3 linked regions of the Nothobranchius furzeri genome follow. The protein of the gene in region 2 binds, or shares a complex with, the protein of the main gene of each other region. Links are inferred from orthologs where the notes say so. Each region holds a gene or a part of one and is shown on either strand. Other genes may lie near its edges.

Region 1 (3,648 bases), on a different chromosome or scaffold from region 2:
GCCGATCACAATTCCACAACAGATTCTGAAGGAACGGATAACGCTCGAAATGTGCGGATTCTTCCTGATGTAAGAGGTGAGTCTACGCTTTGTTTTGGTTGTTTTGGCGTCGACATCATCCTAGCGCGCAACGTTATGTGACTCTTAAAAAAACTGTAAAAATGGTGAGAAACTCTGGCAGTGAATGAGTTAAATGTGACAAAAGCAAAACCAGGACAAATCTGTAAGGGGGGGGGGGGGGGGGGGGGCGCAAAAAACCTTCATTAATGGAATGAATAATGAAAAAAAGACAACTGAAGCATCGGAGGCTGGGTTTAGCTTCAGCCGGCAGGTTCATCTGTTGCAGAACACCAGCTTGAGGACGTCTGAGACACAAAGACAATCAGAGACGAGGCAGGAAGCCAAAGCAAACAAACAGCATCTGGTGGCGCAACGGCAGCTCAACAGAAACACGTAAGAGTTGCTTTATTCTGTGCTGCAGGACATTTTCTGCGCTGGGGAACCTCGAGACACAAGATAAACACCTCAGGTTTGCTTTTAGTCATTTATATGAGCGTGATTAGTAAAAAATACAGATCCAGGGAGAATCTCTGAGCGACACAGAGATATGTTCACACAAATCCACTTCCTCTTTTGTTGCTTCCAGATGAATTCCCAGCTTTTAATTACTTATTGACTTTCTACGACCACTAAGCGGGTTGAATGGGAACATTTACAATGGTTGTTTACAACAAGTGTGGTAATGACAGCTCAGAATGCCTCGTTAGTAACAGAGTCAGGGTAGAAAATAAAAGCTTTTCACATAAATGTTTTTACCACAACATGCCACATAATTTCTAATGATTATAAAATGTTATCAGCACTTCTGCAGACACTAAAAACGCCCAGCAGCACCTTTAAAAATGTTATTTCCGTTCTGTCGAATTGCATTGAAACATCTGAGAAGGAGGTCTGCACATGGCGAAGAGCTGTCGCTTATTAATACGGGCATGAATCATTTGAAATGAAAAACGAGAATCTTTATGTGTTAGACGTGCAAAATTTGAAGGGCCGTCGTCTGATTGCAAATGTAGCCGTTTGTCTTAGGTTACGACCTCCCAGCTGGCTTCTTCAACTGCAGTCTCGTCGGTATCATGTTCAGGTTTGAAAAGTGTTTTTGAAAAGCTAAAAACCTCCGAGGGTTTTAGAACAAATGATGTTACAACACAAGAAACCGTGTGTGGGGGACAGAGGTGCCGGCTCAGGTGTTGGGATTTTGTGCACAAGTAGTTACCTATATTTGGAATATCGGGTCCTTGATCCTGAGTGAGCTCTTTGTTGTAACGCAGGAAGAGGATGGTGTTTTTAAGGGTCAGAGCGTGATCGAAGTAACGTTGGGCCTCACCCTCAGCCGTGCTCTCCACCTGAGAAAAAAATATCATCTTTTTTGTGTTTTAAAGGGAACATATTACTCTTTAGTTTTAAAGTAGAAAAAAATACGTTAATGAATGGCTTCAGTGGTCTCATAACCACCAGAAGGGGGAGGGCCTGGGCAGGTCACAGCTTGGCTAAAGCCGGGCGGACACTGTGCGACTTTTTCACTCGCAGCGTTCAGCTTCAGCTCAAACTGTACGACTTCCTCGCAGGGCAGATCTCACGAGTCGTGTGCTCACACTGCACGACCCAGTTCTCGCATGCGACCTGACTGCTCACACTGTACGTCTGGTAGCAACACGTCGGCCCTAAAAATGTGCTAAAAGTAGCAGTTTTTACTCAACACGTCAGACTTTTTTGTCTTGTCTTGCCTGTTGTCCTTCGGGAGTGCTGCAGGAGGACACACGGGGATTTATGGGGGTTGGATGAGGAAAACGAAATAAAGAAAGTAAATCTGTGTTTTGTGATCAGTTTAATTTGACATGAACACGACAAACACGCTTTCTTGACAATCTTTATGAGTAAAAAAACGTGTAGAAACAAAAACGAACAGCGTGTGTTATTAGGGAAATAGCGAGCGGTGTTGACGCAGGATTGCGCATGCGCTGTGAGCGGTTCTGATACTTTTTGGGTCGCAGCTGCTCGCAGCGCCGCTTCAACAGTGCGATACCCTCACGAGGGACGAGCGAAATATTAAACACGCCAGAAGTCCGTGCGACCTCACGACTGCTGATCGGTAGCTGATCATGTGGTGTTAATCGCCTCTCGTAACCGCCTGTACACTACACGACGCTCGGCGCAAAACTCGCCCCGATCTCGTGGATTCTCGCACGAGTGGAAAATCGGCTCAAAAAAGTGAAAAAGTCACACAGTGTACGCCCGGCTTAAGCTGGGATGTTGTCGACATGAAGAGAAATTTGGTTTCCTAACCACATTATCTGGGTACTTTAGCTCTATTGGAAGTAGTCCAGTTCAGTTCCACTTCAGCCGGACCAAGTCAATCATTTGGTTTTCTAACACTGACTGTAAACGCACTGACTGACACAAAACAGATGGATGGGATTTTACTCATTCGGAGTATATATAGAGGCAGTAGAGATCCACATGGCAGCAAAAAGGAAGCAAATAGCGAGTTTTGCATAATACGTCCCCTTTAAAAGCAAAGAACGACACCAGGTGAGGCTCTAGTGACAGCTCAACTCACCTTCTCTAACTCAGCCAGGAAGCTGTCAAGGGTCTCATCAGACAGCTTACCCACCTCGAACATGGTGACCGCATGGCTCTTCAGGTTCTGATGGGACAAAAAAATAAATAAATAAAAAATTTTTTGTTCAATTCTGGTTATGAGACTTGGCGGGAGTCCACACGAGGTCACTGACCGGAGACAGGTTTCCCATCATGAGGAAGGCTGTGAGTGTGGAGTCAAAGAGGAAGGCGATCCTCTTGGTGGGAGCAGCAGGGATGCTCAGGCTGCTGACGCTGCCCGTCTCAGCTACAAAGACGTTAAAAAACACATAAAGCAGTCATATGTTAGCAGCTGATTGCAGCTCCATTGTTGCATGCTAAAGTAAATGTAAGGACTCAATTAAAGATGAATTAGTGGATGTGTTGAAATAAATTCTACTTCACAAACAACCCCATCCACCTAAAATTTGGCTTTCCTGGGCATTAATTAGCGGTGCTGCCTCAAACCTTCTGAAGTAGCAATCAGAAAGTGCCCCGTGTGCACGTATCAGCATGCATAATTATCTGCACACGCTGCAGAACCGGCATGTGGACCGTGGAGAGACCTTGGTCTTCCAGGCTGGTGGTGTCGGTGTCTGTGGCTGAGGAGCCTGCCTCCATCACGGGGCTGCCCTGCTCCCAGGACAGCAGCATCTTCTGGGGGTCCATGGTGCTCCTGCAGCAGACCCAAAACATCAAAACAGCACAAGTGGAGTTGTAAAATTAGCTGATTGGTGGACAGGAACGTACCTGAGTCTGTTTACAGACGGAGCGTTCTTCCAGCTGGGGTGCAGCTGATCGGAGCTGAACACCTGACCTTTCTTCACAGCAAAGCCGAGGCGACAGTACATGGAGACGGCGTTCTGATTGAACGGAAACAAGGATAAACGACGCTCAATCCCAAGTGAACCCCATCAGAATGAAACCCCAAAATACAGATTATTAACAAAAGGCCAACTTACCCTTTTCTTACTTTTTGGTTTTGATATATTTTAGATATTTGAAAACAAC
Region 2 (3,648 bases):
AAGGCATTCTACCCTTTTCTGAATCAAGACCATGGTCTCAGATTTAGAGGAGCTGATTCTCATCCCAGCTGCTTCACACTCGGCTGCAAACCGCTCCAGCGAAAGCTGAAGATCACGTTCTGATGAAGCCAACAGGACCACATCATCTGCAAAAAGAGACCTGATCCTCAGGCCACCAAAACAGAAATGGTAAATGGTAAATGGCCTGTATTTGATATAGCTCCTTCTGGAGCCCTGGAACCCCCCAAGGCGCTTTACAACACAATCAGTCATTCACCCATTCACACGCTGGTGGGGATGAGCTACGATGTAGCCACAGCTGCAGCTGGGGTGCACTGACAGAGGCAAAGCTGCCGAGCTCTGGCACCATCGGTCTCTTCGACCACCACCAGCAGGCAAGGGGGGTTAAGTGTCTTGCCCAAGGACTCAACGACAGCGACAAACTGAGCGGGGCTCGAACCTGCAAAACCACATTGCTCCTCCTGAATCTGAGGTTCAACAATCCGACGGACCCTCCTCTCCAGAACCCTGAATAGACCTTACTAGGGAGGCTCAGGTGTGTGATCCCCCTGTAGTTGGAACTCACTCTGCGGTAGGGGGACCACCACCCCAGTCTGCCATTCCAGTGAAACTGTTGCCGATGTCCGTGTGATACTGCAGAGCCGCATCACCCAAAACAGCCCTACGACACCCAGAGCCTTAAGGAACTCCGGGCGGATCTCATCCACCCCCAGAGCCTTTCCACCAAGAAGTTTATTGGCAACCTTAGTGACCTCAGCCCCAGAGATTAGAAAGTCCAACCCAAAGTCCTCGGACTCTGCTTCCTCAATGGAAGACATGTCGGTGGAATTGAGGAGGTCTTTAAAGTATTCCGCTCACCGATCCACATCGTCTTGAGTAGAGGTCAGCAGCACACCGTCCCTACTATAAATAGTGTTGGTAGCGCACAGCTATCCCCTCCCAAGGCGCCGGACGGTGGACCAGAAGCTCCTCGAAGCCGTGCGGAAGTCTTGCTCCATGGTCTCACCAATCAGCTGCCTCTGGAGTCCCACTGGCAAAAAAGGCCCGATAGGACTCTTTCTTCAGCTTGACAGCATCCCTAACCATCGATGTCCACCGGCGGGTTCGGGGGTTGCCGCCATGACAGGCACCAACGACCCTGCAGCCACAGCTCCGGTCGGCCGTCTCAACAATGGAGGCATGGAACAGGGCCCATTCGGACTCATTGTCCCCCGCCTCCCCCCAGAACATTTTGGAAGTTCTGTCGGAGGTGGGAATTAAAGGTCCTTCTGGAAACTCTGCCAGACATTCCCAGCAGACCCTCGCAATAAGTTTGGGCCTGCCTGGTCTGACCGGCATCCTCCCCCACCATCTGAGCCAACTCACCACCAGGTAGTGGTCAGCTGACAGCTCCGCCCCTCTCTTCACCCGAGTGTCCAAGACATGCCACCGCAGATCAGATGAAACAACAACAAAGTCGATCATCGAGCTGCGGCCTAAGGTATCCTGGTGCCAAGAGCACATATGGACACCTTTATGTCTGAACATGGTGTTCATTATGGACAATCCATGACTGGTACAGAAGTCCAATAACAAAACACCACTCAAATTCAGATCGGGGGGGCCGTTCCTCCCAACCACACCTCTCCAGGTCTCACTGTCGGTGCCCACGAGAGCGTTAAAGTCCCCCAGCAGAACGAGGGAGTCACCGGAAGGAGCGCTCTCCAGCACCCCCTCTAAGGGTGGGTAGTCTGAACTGTAGTTTGGTGCATAAGCACAGACCACAGTCAGAACCCGTCCCCCCCCACTTAGGCAGTGGGAGGCTACCCTCTCATTCACCAGGGTAAACCCCAACGTACGGGAACCAAGATGGGGGACAACTAGTACGACCGCCCCTGCTCGACACCTCTCAGTGGGAGAAACTCCTTAGAAAATATAAAACATCATTAAATAAAAACAATTCCAATACTGCTTGTGTTTATCTATGAGCACCTCTCAACTGCAGAAATCTCGACTCCAGCTGAATTGTTGCTCCCAAATTTGAATGTGATGAGCTCAGGGTGCTTCTTTTTAGAGGTGATCTTCACCACAGAGCTCAGCGCTTGTCTGGACTGGATGTAGGCAAATCCCTTCCTGGAGGCAATCTCCCTCAGGCAGTACATGTGAGTCGCTGTGATCAGCAAGTGACTGAAATAGAGACGAGATTTCAAGAGACAAGAGATTTCCCACTTCCTCAAGTCTAACAGAAGCTGAAAGACGTGTCAGAGCTTCCTGTTAGCTTTCTTCCTAATTCCACACCAACAGGAAGTTGAGCAGCTCACCTGGGGAACATGTGACCCGTCTCTTTCACCTCATTACATGGGATGTGATGTTTGACATCCGGCTTGCTTATCCAGGTCTGAATGTTTACGATCTCCTTCCTGTCATCGTCCGACATGGAAGAGCTGTCGATCTCATCTGGGAAACATAAAAAATCCCGTCAACTGGTTTCACAAAAAGCCGAACGGGCACATTTCCAACTGTACTGGTTCTTCACCAGTGTCATACTCCTCTTCATCACCAATACTGAAGACGGGCTTCACCCCTCTGTAAGGTTTGCCGACTCGGTCGCTGCTGCTCACGTGTCTGTTTACGACAAAGGCAGTTATCAGCATTACTGGTACGGTGTAGGGAGCTGAGATGGTTAAAAACCAGTGTGAGCTTGCAGACAAACGGCAATGACACGGAGAGCTCAGGCTGCAGTGAAAATCATGAGCCCACTACAGATTATGCTGGTAAACACAAGAGGAGACACTTTTAGTTCACGTCAGAATCAACACATTAGTACTTGTATGATATTCCGGGCCACATGCAGCAAACTGCAGCGTTTCTAACGTTGTGTTCAGCCCTGGCTGTCACGTCAGCAAACAACAATGAAATGGAAAGACAGTTTAGAGCATCTCAAAGGCAAAGGCCAGGCGTGTCCTAGAGCTTCTCAGCCACTTGTTTCGTTTTTAAAAAGAGAACTAGACCACAGCCTTAGGGACGTCAGGATGTACGGATGAGTACTTGCATGTTGCAGCAGCTCCACATGTTGTTAGTGAAAGCATGAAACAAAGACCGTAGACACAGGCTGCTCTCGGCGTGTGGAAAGTGTGCTGCTGCTGCTGTTATGAGTGAGCGGATTAGGAAGATGCTGCTACGAGACATGCTTTCATGTAGAAAAGAGGACCGGTGCAAATCTAAAGCCAGTGGGCATGCTGGTGAGGAATGACTCAATGTTTGGGAGCTCTTACCGATCTTGGACCACCTTCTCTGGCCAGGGCAGATTGAAAGTTATTCTAGTGTGGAATAAGGCACAGGGGACTTTATTTTGTCTTGCATTACAACGAAGCTGTGGTATTATTTTTAACAATCAGAATAATGACAGCCCAGTTCAGTCCGGTTTAAACTCCTATTAAACCCACGGGTGAGTGGTACAGGAAGAGCTCTAAACATGAAGTTCAGAAGGGGAGCGGGTCCCTACCGTTCTACAGGGGTGGAGGTGTTCTCGATGAAGCTGATCATCTTCTCCTTCACGTTGACAGACTTGGACTTGAGAGCAAATGTCATTTTGTTGACCAGTGACTTGACACCTTTGCCATCTCCAGGGCTGCTCAGAGACTCTCC
Region 3 (4,173 bases), on a different chromosome or scaffold from region 2:
CTGGACCAGATGTTCAGGGCATTTCGTCTCGTGCATTATGCCACAGTTATAACTGTTTGACTTGTCTGTTCATTGTTTTCTTTTTCTCTTCGACTACAGGAAATGGGTTATTGATAAACATATTGATAAAATCCATGACACACAGTTACGACTCCCAATAGAGAAATGCACCTGGTAAGATTTTAGCATTTCTCTTTGGCACCACTAGAGAAAGCACTTGTACCACAAGACGGTGGTTTGAGATCTGCTAACAGAATGTATTCAGTTCATTTTCTGTTGGAAACATTTTTCTGAATGGACACAAATGTTGCATTTTACCTCATCGACCCCGTCTATCCATTTGGGAGGCAGTTTTTTAGTGACACCAATGGCAGCTTCAGGATCCAGACTGAGGCCGGACACCAGAGCCATGCGGTCATCAGCCATCTCAAATAAAACAAAAATAATTACATTGAAGTGTTTTATATAACAAGATAACAGTGTGACCATGATCCTAGATGTTATGCCTCCAGCAGGAGTTATTAGATTGTGACGTGAAGAGAACTAACAGTACCTCATCAAGCTCCTAATGTGATTGTCAGAGAGCAGAGTTTCCAGCCAGCACAGAAACACGAAGACAGGAAATAAAAGGAACAACAGATTAAGACCCCGAAAATCAGCAGCAATCCCCCCAAAACAGGGTTTCTGTATTCACTCCTAGCAACTGAAGCTAATGTCAGATCAACAGTATTCACATATGAACAGCTAGTGTAAGTACAGAAACTCTGACACATCGAAACTCCTAAATCATTTTGTGTGAGCAGCAGCAAAATTAGAAAAAGTAATCCAGACTGGATTAGCTGATGAAAAGTTAAAAATAGATTATTTAATTCATTAATTAAAATCCTAACAATCCATTTTGGATGATTACGTCTCTTGTGTGAAAGTATTTGGATTTTAAACAAATAGAACTGTTGCTTTCTAGACCATTTTCTGGTGTTAATGCACAATTTTGACTACCGGTACTTAAAGAGCAAGTCACCCCTTACAAGAAGCATATCACTCCCAATTCATGTTTGAAAAATGCAACAAATGCTGTTGCCTAGCAGGCCGAGAGGGTGGAGCCACTAACAAATACACACACTCACGACATTGTGACATCATAATGTACCAGTTTACATCACAGCATACCTCTTAGCCAATAGCGGTGGCAGATTTAAATTCAAATGCAGTGAAGAGTTTTTACCTGACAACGGCACAACTCTGACAGTTTCAGGCAGAAAATTAAAATTTTAACTAACATGCACTAAAGTGCAAAACTACTGACTACACGTGTCTGTAGCACGATTAGACACACATTTATATAGTTTATCAGAAAAAAATTATTGATTTGGGGGTGACTTGCTCTTTAAAATTCACTGGCTTTGAAAAAATGTTTGTTTGTTTTTTTACTTCTAACAGCAAAACAACTACCATAATAGTTGTCAGATCTGGAAAAACTGAGTATTAAATGTTAAATTTCTGATTTTTCTCTGGTAAATGGAAGCCTTTAAACTGAAAGGACTTTCTCATATGTGTGTGATATCTGAGAAACACATACATCTACAAATATTCACAGCAGAACGTGAATGGTTACGTGTTGACTACAGCTCTGAGCTTCTAGCATGACTTAAGCTGTATTTTCAACATCCAGCAAGAAACCATTTACAGAAAATCTACTAAATGAATTTTTGCATGTTAGTCCTTTCTGACGCCAGTCTCTCCAACAGGCTTGTTATTTTCACAGACAAGGACCCGATTGTGCTAACAAAATGACATTAAAGAATGTTTTTATCAACAGCAGGAAAAGAATGTCAACTTTTGAGTATTTTGGCTCAGCTTTGCTTTTTCTATTTTTATGATTTTACATGTAGCGAGGTAGTATTTCAAGGTTAAAAATAAGTTGATTAGATGCATATTTTTTTTACAAGTTTTTGATCTTATTTAAACTCTTGGTTAATTTCTGTGGTGATTTGGACTAATTAGATCTGGTTTGTTTTTGTTTGCACCCCCAAGTGTTATTGTTTTGTCTCCATGTGTGAGTTGATCTGGGAGACGGTTACTTCAGATAAATAGTGTGAATGAAAAGATCCCGGAACTTACTTAAGATTAATAATATATCCGCTTCAGATGCATGTCACAGACATTTTAATCTAAAATAAACCACAGCACACGTTCTACTAATAAGTAACATACTCTTTATGTCTTCAGCACCTTATTTTAGTTACTATTTAAAGTTATTTTTCCTGTAAGTAATCTATAAAAGATGTTTTCTGCAGCAGGAAATCTGTCCTCCTCTTCCTCATCACCTGAAGGACTCATCCATCTCTTCTGAGGTGAAACTAGAGGCCACATAAACACTGACAGCCCATAATCCGTTCAGATTATTATAGGTCAGCTATTAGAACACTGGTGGGTCTAGCTAGGGGGGCTCGGTGACTGGCTACATGCAAACACACACAGTAAAATGTCAGAACGAAGCAGACCACTCACCGCAGCATTGCTACGTGTACTCAGACGGGGCTCGTTTGTACTCACTTGCTCAGCCAAAATCTGCCGGTTTTGGATCGCATTGTTCCGCATTAACAAGAAGGCATCGGTCAGACGCCTAGTGGCCATGACTGGCTTGCTTGAATTTTAAATTAACCCAGGACAAAGTGCAGGTCAAATGATAAATTTAGCTAAATAACGTCCACTAACGCCGCAGCGGACTTAGCTTCACCTGCGATGAATGAGGGAAAACTCGCGATAAAACGGATGCTGTGGACTTCAATCGAGCTGAGTCACAATGATTTGTTAAGCATGTTTAGTCCTGAAGTAGTGAACGCTGGATAAAACCGAGAATTTCATGAAAAAGGTTGATTTGAAATCCAACTGGTAACGTTATTCCGCTTACAAGGAGCTACGGAAGTGCTAACGTAAACATCTGCGGGCGTAAAGCGCTTCTTCTACGATTTATTAGCCGCACTGTCATCAGCAATGGAGCATGTTATCGCCCCCCACTGCCTCAGAAAATCCATTATATTTGTGATTTATTATTTATTCAATGTGAGTCTATGCTATTTTGTTTTCTAATTTTGTTGTATTTTTGTTAATTTATTGTCTCCTCGTGAGACTCAGTTTATTTTCCGATGTAAACTTTTTTATTTAGTAGTGACACCTCACAGACAAAGGAAATCAATAAAATATATCAAGATCGATCGCTAAATTTTTAAAACATGTTTAAGCTGAACAGAGTAAAAAATTATAGTTCAAGAGGATCAACACCTTTTTGATTAATGTCTTTTGGTTATTGACTCAGCCAACTATAGAAATAATTATAATAATTTAAATAGCTGTGTTTTTATTTGGTGTGTAATCATAACTTTTATGTTTGTTTCAGCCCCCTATTGTGTGTTAAATTAAACACACAATAATTTTAAGTAAGAATGCTTGTGCAACAAAGTAGTTATTTATTTGAAAATGTGTTTGAAAGCACAGATACAAGCGGCCAAAAGAAATTTCTCTGTAAGGTGGTTGGGCTTTCCCTTAGAGATAGTGTGAGAAGCACAGTCATTCCGGAGGGGCTCGGAGTAGATCTGCTGCTCCTCCACATCGAGAGGAGGCAGTTGCCTCCTGGACGCCTCCCTGGTGAGCTTTTCTGGGCGGGTCCAACTGGGAGGAGACCCAAACGAAGACCCAGGACACGCTGGAGAGAGTACGTCTCTTGGCCTTAGGATTATCCCAGAGAGGGAAGTCTGGGCCTCTCTGCTTAGGCTGCTGTCACCGTGACCCGACCCTGGATATGCAAAAGAGAATGGATGGATGGATTTGACATTTTCTTTCTCTTGAATGTAAAAGAGGTTTATAGTAGTCCATACAGCCCTGACCTAAAAGCAAAAAAAGCAACAGGGTGTGAGAGTGAATGTGAAAACAAGCAGAGTCAGGGTATTTTGATTTCAAAGAAAATCCTGGGGTAATTGTTAATGGAGAAGAAATCCCTTGGAAAGAGAAGAACATTTGTGACATTGAGCACAAGTCTAAACATGTATAATTATACATATGAATCTGATAAGGAGCTGCCAGGCATTAAGGGGTTGTAAAGAACACATACTGAACTCAGGCAGAGAGCTGACAGAATGGAAATAGAAATAAAACAACCAAAGGTAATTCAGC

The links.
Region 1: the proteins of tbc1d23 (region 2) and fam91a1 are in contact, whole or in part, in a crystal structure (PDB 8JJ9), measured with the Homo sapiens proteins. The link is inferred for Nothobranchius furzeri from reciprocal best matches to the Homo sapiens genes TBC1D23 and FAM91A1. Residues at the interface, in NP_001186127.1 of Homo sapiens: Arg533, His534, Val535, Ser536, Ser537, Asp539, Val541, Gly542, Lys543, Pro544, Tyr545, Arg546, Val548, Pro550, Val551, Phe552; in NP_659400.3 of Homo sapiens: Arg49, Glu60, Arg61, Tyr64, Asp84, Ile85, Lys88, Gly89, Leu90, Arg91, Ile92, Thr93, Phe95, Ser96, Ile159, Pro161, Tyr176, Ile177, Thr178, Glu179, Asp181, Ile182, Lys190, Asp194, Ile197, Asp198, Tyr216, Asn217, Lys218, Gly219.
Region 3: the proteins of tbc1d23 (region 2) and stx16 are in contact, whole or in part, in a crystal structure (PDB 8QQF), measured with the Homo sapiens proteins. The link is inferred for Nothobranchius furzeri from reciprocal best matches to the Homo sapiens genes TBC1D23 and STX16. Residues at the interface, in NP_001186127.1 of Homo sapiens: Leu638, Asn639, Ser640, Val641, Val642, Lys643, Ile644, Thr645, Ser646, Lys647, Lys648, Ser661, Ser662, Ala663, Ile666, Thr683, Lys687, Ile690, Met691; in NP_001001433.1 of Homo sapiens: Asp209, Asp210, Asn211, Thr212, Leu213, Tyr214, His215, Arg216, Phe218, Thr219, Glu220.

The regions. Positions count from the first base shown.
Region 1 is NC_091759.1:177,167-180,814, forward strand, and holds part of fam91a1 (protein FAM91A1), read right to left. Parts: intron 3,501-3,648; coding exon 3,388-3,500; intron 3,314-3,387; coding exon 3,204-3,313; intron 2,906-3,203; coding exon 2,793-2,905; intron 2,705-2,792; coding exon 2,618-2,704; intron 1,404-2,617; coding exon 1,274-1,403; intron 1-1,273. UniProt on the Homo sapiens protein: As component of the WDR11 complex acts together with TBC1D23 to facilitate the golgin-mediated capture of vesicles generated using AP-1.
Region 2 is NC_091756.1:62,664,384-62,668,031, forward strand, and holds part of tbc1d23 (TBC1 domain family member 23), read right to left. Parts: coding exon 3,506-3,648; intron 3,321-3,505; coding exon 3,276-3,320; intron 2,626-3,275; coding exon 2,537-2,625; intron 2,458-2,536; coding exon 2,322-2,457; intron 2,188-2,321; coding exon 1,993-2,187; intron 1-1,992. UniProt on the Homo sapiens protein: Putative Rab GTPase-activating protein which plays a role in vesicular trafficking. Involved in endosome-to-Golgi trafficking.
Region 3 is NC_091743.1:50,492,006-50,496,178, forward strand, and holds the start of stx16 (syntaxin-16), read right to left. Parts: upstream 2,841-4,173; 5' UTR 2,638-2,840; coding exon 2,512-2,637; intron 780-2,511; exon of another isoform or gene 566-779; coding exon 554-565; intron 427-553; coding exon 319-426; intron 1-318. UniProt on the Homo sapiens protein: SNARE involved in vesicular transport from the late endosomes to the trans-Golgi network.